2 linked regions of the Ovis aries genome follow. The protein of the gene in region 2 interacts with the protein of the main gene of each other region in a pairwise test. Links are inferred from orthologs where the notes say so. Each region holds a gene or a part of one and is shown on either strand. Other genes may lie near its edges.

What was found. The genes of interacting proteins can lie anywhere in the genome.
Region 1: the proteins of ANKRD40 (region 2) and AHCY interact in binary tests that used the Homo sapiens proteins (3 or more experiments, as listed by UniProt). The two-hybrid records come from large-scale screens. The link is inferred for Ovis aries from reciprocal best matches to the Homo sapiens genes ANKRD40 and AHCY.

Annotation. Positions count from the first base shown.
Region 1 is NC_056066.1:63,682,415-63,685,893, forward strand, and holds the end of AHCY (adenosylhomocysteinase), read right to left. Parts: intron 1,462-3,479; coding exon 1,330-1,461; 3' UTR 589-1,329; downstream 1-588. UniProt on the Homo sapiens protein: Catalyzes the hydrolysis of S-adenosyl-L-homocysteine to form adenosine and homocysteine. Binds copper ions.
Region 2 is NC_056064.1:35,757,951-35,762,571, reverse strand, and holds the start of ANKRD40 (ankyrin repeat domain-containing protein 40), read right to left. Parts: upstream 2,873-4,621; 5' UTR 2,608-2,872; coding exon 2,474-2,607; intron 1-2,473.

The DNA.
Region 1 (3,479 bases), on a different chromosome or scaffold from region 2:
CTCAATAAACAACAGTCCCCGACGGAGTACTGGATCAATCCTAAGCGGAAACGAGGAGAAAAAGAAAATATAAATTGGAACAGAAAAAAATAAGGTAGAAGAAATAAATACTGAGATTACAATAAATATAAATAGGCAAAACTCACCTATTACATGAGTCTTAAGTGAAGAAGTGAAGTGAAGTCGCTCAGTCGTGTCCAACTCTTTGCGACCCCATGGACTGCAGCCTACCAGGCTTCTCTGTCCATGGGATTTTCCAGGCAAGAATACTGGAGTGGGTTACCATTTCCTTCTCCAGGGGATCTTCCCGACCCAGGGATTGAACCTGGGTCTCCCACATTGGAGGCAGGCGCTTTAACCTCTTGAGCCATGAGACTTAGATTGGGTAAAAAAAGCAGGCTGTTTGCAAAAGACACACCCTAAGAGGTAAGAGTTCTCTCATTTTACCCATTCTCTCAAGCCCAAGGGTTTGCCTGCAGCTCTTATTACCCCACACTGCAACACAGCAGACTCTTACAGCACATCACACTCCATGGCTTACACCACACACTGTTGGCAATGGATTTTCTACAAAATAAAGGCTCAAAATTCTTTTAGGCACCCAAATTTTTATTAACCCACCTTCTTGCTCTCTCTTAATATTATAAACCAAATTAACCTCTTTTTGACCCAGAGCTCTGATGGGAACCATCAATGTGCTTTTACGTTTCTCTGGCCCCTCTTAACCGCTGGCTGTCTTTCCTCTTGTCTTTTCTTGCTGAACAATATATTCTAACCCCTGTAAAATAGGGACTAAAAGTACCAACCTCATTGTTCTGAGGTTTAAGAGAATGCTAAGCACTAAGCCAGGCTCTCTGGAGCATTCAAACTCCCACAGTTCCTCCACACCCTTTGACGTAGCTCCTTCTCATCTGTCATGGGCTGAGGAACCAATGAACCTGTAAACCAAGAACATAAGTCTAAAGTCCACAGGCCAAGTGAAGGCCTGGATGGTAAAGTGCATGGGCTTTCTGACCACCACTGCCAACTTCCAGCCTAAGGAAGGACTGAGTGAGCAGTTGCTGAACCCCTGAGCTCATGGTTCCCTGTGGGTAACCCCCATGCACCTCCATTATGGCCCGGGCTAGAGGGGGGACTTCTCAACTTCCCCTGCCACACTTGGAACAGCTTGGGGGATGCAGCAGAGGCCCAAGACTGAGTGGCGAGCCCCAGGGAGTTGATGGGGGACATTATCAGACCAATCTCAAAGGTGGTGCCATTTGCTCTTGGGGAGGAGAGGTGGGACCCAGGCAAGGACAGCAGCTGGAAGGCAAAGGGCAGGCCCGGTTCTCAGTAGCGGTAGTGATCAGGCTTGAATGGACCTTCACGGGGCATGCCCAGGTACTGGGCCTGCTTCTCAGTCAGCTTGGTCAGCTTCACATTCAGCTTGCCCAGGTGGGCTTCAGCCACTGCTTCATCCAGCTGGGGAGAAACACAGGAAAAGCTGGAATCAGTGCCATGCTCTGGGACCCCTAACCTCCATCTTCTCACTGCCCAAAGAGGCGGGAACGGTTCTATTGTGACATCTGCTGAGTGTCAAGCGTATTATTTCATCCTGTCCTCACAGTGGATGTGTGTGGGTTTGGGCTGCTCAGCTTTTCTTCAAGGGGGAATCAAATTACATCTTCCCCTCCAGGCAGCCCTGGTGGGACCATCAGTTACATCTCCTCCTTCACCCTCCATCAACCTAAGCAGCTAACCAAAATGCTTCCTGCAATTTATCAATGAACAGGACATACTTTCATGACAGGGACTCTCAGGATTCCTAAACAGGGAGGCCATCGGTCTCAGCTCACCAACAGCAAGTTTATTTGACAAGTGAAGTGAATGCAGGGAGAACAGAAGAGCCAAGAAACAGAGAAAGACAGAGCTCTGATGCCCATGAATCCCCGGATCCAGTGTCTGAATCTGACGCTCTGCCATTACAGAACCAATAGCATTCCTTTTTGGATTACACTGGTTGTGGTTGTTTTAATGTACTTCCTGAGCAGTGGTGACCACAGCCGTCTTCCAAATATATCCTTTAAAATGTCTATAAATTAATAAAACACCTTCCTCCTTCAAGAGGTGGAGCCTACGTCCTCACCCCTCAAGTGGCTCATTTCTAATAAACAGAATGAAGCAGAAATGATGATGCGTGACTTGAAAACTGGGAGCTAAAAGGTACTTCAGCTTCCTCCTTTGCTCTCCCCCTGGATTTGGGGGAAGCCAGCTGCCATCTCAAGAGGAAACTTAAGCAGCTCTATGGAGAAGACACTTACGTGGCAAGGAACCTCCCACCCACGAGGATGTGAAGTGACTCTTCCAGCTCCAGTCAAGCCTTCAGATGACTGCAGCCCTGCCTGGGTGACTTCTTGACTCAAGTCCCATCCCACCACCATCCCATAATGGCACAATCGCCTTTAACCACAACCCAGATGCATGGTGGCTTCCCTGGTAGCTCAGCTAGTAAAGAATCCGCCTGCAATGTGGGAGACCCAGGATCGATCCCTGGGTTGGGAAGTTTCCCTGGAGAAGGGAATGGCTACCCTCCAGTATTCTGGCCTGGAGAATTCCGTGGACTATAGGGTCCATGGTGTTGCAAAGAGTCGGACACGACTGAGCAACTTTCACTTCACAGCCCAGAGAGCTTTATGTTCCCAAGTGGTTTCACATTCACTGTTTCATTAGAGGCAAACATCCCTACGAAGGAGGCCAGGGTTTATTTTTCTATTCAACAAATGAAGAAACTGGGGAGAGGCAGGCAAAGGCAGGAGCAGAGTCTAGCCCTAAGGCCATGGCAGTTCTGGAGGCAGAATGAAGGTCTCCAATGACCCGAGGATACAATGAATCCTCCCTTCGCTTGGCCTGGCCTGCACCCCACACTGGAGGGCACCCTACACCCGGAGGGCAGCGTGTCGTAATGGTTAACAGCCCAGACAGACAGGGCTGATCTATTCTTGGTCCAGTACTTTACAGTTGTGGGGGCAAGTCACTCTCTGAACCTTAAGTTCCCTCATCTGTAGGCTGGATCTCTCACAGTTCTTACAAACATCAGTGATATTCAAGAGGGCATGGTGCAGGCACCTTAATAAATGAGGGGGCTGCTCATGCTGTCATTATGGTTAACCAAGATATATAATCCCTTGCCCCACACACTGCACGTGAGTGTGAAGCATGTCCCCAACCCATGCCATGACAGTGATGGAGAAAGGAGAAGAGGATGGGGTCAGGTGCCGGGGTAGGAGGTGAGCTCTTTACCTTTTCACTTCCAACCCTGGTCTCATCTCAGAGGCCTGCCCCTTTTCTCACTACAGCCCTGTTTCCTCCAATTGAGATCAGATGAGGGTTCAAATGAGGCTTTTTAAACCCTACAACAAGCATGGGGACCTGGCAGGCTGCACAGGACAGGACAGCCCCTTGAGGCCCTCACAGGTGAAACATCTGGTCAGACAAGACAG
Region 2 (4,621 bases):
GTAGTTGCGGTGCACAGGCTTAGCTGCCCCAACAGCATGTGGGATCCTCCCAGACCAGGGATTGTCCCCTGCACTGGCAGGCAGATTTTCAACCACTGCACCACTAGAGAAGTCCTGTGCATGGTGTTTTCAGCAAAAGCAAGAAAGCCAGGGGAAGGAACGAAGAGAGCAAGGGGGTTAATCGAGAGATGAGGCTTAGAAATAGAGTGTGGGCTGAGGGACAAGGATTTGAACTGTAGGACCCTGTGGGCTTTTCCTCCATTTGAGATTGGAGCCATTAAAGGGTTTTAAGCAGAATTAAATGATCTGTGTTTTAAGTCAGGATTCCTCTGGCTGCTGTGCTGAGAAAAGACATAGGATAGGACTAATGAGGAGGCTACTGCATTAATCCAGGTGACAGATGGTGGCTTTGCACAAGACGTGTAGTGGCAGAGCTAGTGAGAAGTGGTCAGATTCTAACTACATCACTGCTAGTGAAGCTGGCAGGATTAGCAGCTTGACTGGATGTGGGTTGTGAGAGAAAGACAGAAGGTAAGGAGTGCACCAAAGATTCTGGCCAGCCAGTGCAGCTCAGATGCTCAGATGCGGACTCAAGCAGGCTGGGGACAGTTAGGGATATGAGGGAGACCAAGAACTCAACCCTGGACATGTAGAAGTCCTATTAGATATCTTCCCCCAATTAAGTCTATGAGAGCCTCTTCATAGTTCAACACTCTTATATTTTTCTGAGCACTTACTATGTGGTTAAGAAAGTATGGTTTCTAAGACTCCTCATGACCACTGCAGAGGGCACGGGTTCAATTCCTGGTCAGAAACTAAGATCCCACATGCCCCGAGGTGTGGTCAGAAAAAAAGAAAATTGTGTGAGGTGGGAAGGAGGGTCAAGAGGGAGGGGACATATGTATATCTACAGCTGATTCATGTTGATGTATGGCAGAAACCAACACAATATTGTAAAGCAATTCTTCTTCAATTAAAAAAAAAAAAAAGAAAGCATGGTTTGGAGGCAGATGCTGGGTTTCATTCCCAGCTCCATTAGTTACTGTAAATTCTTAGGGAAACTACTTATTCAGTTTTCCTATCTGTAAAACAAGAGGATAATAGCTCTGTCCCTGAGCCGCTGTGAATGAGATGATACACATAAATAATACATTTGGAACCTTGTTTGCACTACAGAGCAAGCTCAGGAAATGTTACCTATTTATATTATGCTGCATTTCCTTAAATGCTCACAACTCTTCTGAAATAACTAGAAAATGAAGTGACTCTGGCAAGGTCATATTGCTAAGCAGGAATGGAGAAGAGCCAGCACTCAAGTCCAGGCTTGTTCTACACAACACTGCCTCCCAGTGCCAAAACAGTGATTCACAGCTTGTGAACCACACAGAAATGCTAGAAATCACACACACAGAAAAGCAAGCTAGTTTGTAAACACTTAAACAAAATAAAACAAAAATGCAGTTTCTACTGTTTCCTGGCTTTCTGAACAGTTACCCAGGCTGTTTTCTTTGGGGTAAGTTGGCAGATAAACTTGTGAGGAAGTAAGGAAACTGATTCTGGTCCTGGCTATTAATAGTTGTGTGACCTAGGGCAGGTTAATCTCTGGGATTGAACCTATCTCCAATGTTCCCTTTAGTTTTAAACTGTATGATTCCACTTTAAAAAATAAAACATTTGCAAACTCACTTTAATTCTCAGCTAGCAAATAGCCTGATTAGCATTACTTGGATCAAATAAAAAAATTTAAATGTGAAGAGAGCGGAATAACACCACATTCAGTAACTTAATACAAAAAAATTGACCACCGGCACTTCTTAAAATGTGACTCCTTATTTAGTTGGGAAGGACTCAATCACTGGCAGGCATCTGAAGTCTTGGATAAAGTCTCATATTTCAAACTGTCTTAAGAAAACAAAGCAAAACATTATGTAGGATTAATGAATGAGTCTTCCTGCCACAGGCAGCTGTAGGTAGCAGCAAATCACTGCTGCAGTAAGGCAACAGAAAAGCAGAATAGCAATGCAAGTGATTTATTTTCCCTAGTCTTGGGAAAAGAAATCGTGCTAGTTTACAAGATCCACGTTTGCTCAACTGTTTATGCTTTTTGCTCTGCACAGATGTGTTCTTCAGAGTAATTCCGAACTCGAACTTGGGTGAGCTCCGAATGAGCGTGAGAGTAATCAGCACCTTTTGGCACACGTTATGGGGGTGGGGGTGGGGGTGGGGTCGGCGGGGCACGGGGCGCCAGCGTTCGGGTGGGCGCTGCCGGCGCAGGACCACGTGGGCCGGGATTTGGGCATGACTCGCCGCAGACTCTCCGAGGCAGGGGGGCCAGTGCTAGCCTCCAGAGCGCACAACCTCGTTGGCTCTGGGTGCCGGGCCACGCCTTAGCGGGCTTCCGGGACTGCGCTAGGCCGAGGTCGCGTCCCGGGCTGGATGCTCTGACCCTAGGCCTCCCCCGCTCCCCACTTACCAGCCGTTGACCTCATTTTGGGAGTTCACATCCACCCCGCTCTCCACCAGTTTCCGCACCTCCCGAATGTCCCCCAAGGCCGCGGCCTCCCGCAGCCTCTCCTGCTGCTCCTTCTGCTCGAGGAGAGCGCTCATCTTTCTTTGGCCCCAGGCCCCCGCTAGGGCACGCCCGCCCAGCCCCGGCCGGTCAGCGCCGCCGCCGCCGCGGACCACTCCCCGCCATGGAGAGGCCGCGCGGGGTACAGCTGCCCCGCTCGCGCTGCAGCCCGTGCCGAGCCAGGGGCCTCCGTTCCCCCTTCTTGGCACGCCCGCTGCTCCCCTGCTGCTCCCGGCCCGCGGGCCTAAACCTCCTCCCGGCCGCGCCTCCCACAGGCCGGCTCTGGGGGAACCTATTCAGAGTGACAACCCTGACCCAGATATTTTCCGTTCCTACCCTCCGCGCGCGCGAGGGCGGGCTGTTTATGTAACTGCTGCACAATATTATCTGCCGTGATTCACCAACTATTTTTAGACCTCCCCACCCGGCAGTTTCTGGAGAGGAGGACAGAAACGAGGGAAGGGAAGAATGCGTATTTGAGAGCCAGGAAGGCCTAATCCTCTGGAGCAGGCTGTTTACCACGCATCAAAAATAATTGATTTAAGAAAACAGACAAAAATAATAGTAATAATTGGTTTTGTTTTTTCCCCAGTTTGTGTGGCTCTTTTTCCTTATCTGAATCAACTCTTGCCTAGCAGGGTGGGGAAATGGGCCGAAAACGATCCCACTATTATATGCCCATTATTGCAGAAATAGAATACACGATTCTTTCTTTTGACACTGCTTGGGACCATTCAGTTCGATTATTTATTTCAATTGCTGTTGTCTTACTCACATTTTAGAGATTTCTTCTAATTCGGCTTTCAGGAAAAATATTTATACTGTGCTCAGAGTCTATAAACTGTGATTCATTACTGCTTTTATTTTATTTTTTTTGGTTACTGCTTTTAAATCATAATTAATTACTCTTCGTGAAGGCCATGTAAGGAAAATAGAAAAGAACACCAAAGAGGCTTTCAAGTTATCCCAGTCTTTAATATCAGGAGCTAGGGAGAGAAGTGGTCCAAGTATAAACAGCATTCTTCCTGACTCTCTGGCTAATCAATCTAATGAGGCTCAGAGCCTGGGCTGGCGCTGCTTTACTACACAGCAGGAGAAAAAGAAGAGTATTGTTTTGCTGAGCCCAGGTTCCTGGGCAAGATCTTCCAATGTGGCACAGGATGGAAGCTTGCAGATGGGGTTGGAAGGATTAAGGAGTAACCCTGGGGTGGGGAGGAGGAAGGCCTGAACACAAGAGATAAAATAGGAAATGACAAATTTAGGCATGGAGTTTTCATTTCCCTCTCTTGGGGCAGCCCAGGGTTTGCGCAGCAAGCACTTTTCTTGCTGTGCCTGCGTGCTCAGTCACTCAGCAACCCCATGAACTGTAGCCGGCCAGACTCCCTGTCCATGGAATTTTCCAGGCAAGAATACTGGAGTGGGTTGCCTTTCCTACTCCAGGGGATGCATTTCCTGCATTGGCAGTCAGGATTCTTTACCACTGAGCCACCGGGGATGCCCTTTCTTCTTGCTACTGTTTTATGAAAAACTCGTATCTGTTTATTGTGTTACAGACATTCACACAGTACACAGTGCACACCAGATGGTTTGAATATAAACTGACTGCATGCTTACACTGACCTTATAGTGAACTGGAACTCTGCTTGAGGTGACACTTTCATTTGTCCCCCAATACAAACTTTTAACTCTCCGCATGGTACTCCACCTGAAACTGATGTGCAGAGTAGTACTGGAATTGGGCCCTTCAGTACAATTCAAGTGACAGGGGAGTAGATAGTGGCCTCTTTTTTTTTTTTTTTTTTAATAGCAGTTCAAAAAGCTTGGTAGCGAGTGCACATCAAAATCTGTGAGTTCTCTTTGTAAGGATTTATTTGTTAAATTACCCATGTGCCCTACAATAACTATCGAATCAACGAACATAAATATTTTCTTAAAAACCTCTGGGTGCCTGCATGCCAAGTCACTTCAGTTGTGTCTGACTCTTTGTGACCCTACCCACTGTAGCCCACCAGGGTCCTCTGTCCATGGGATTCTCCAGACAAGAGTACTGGG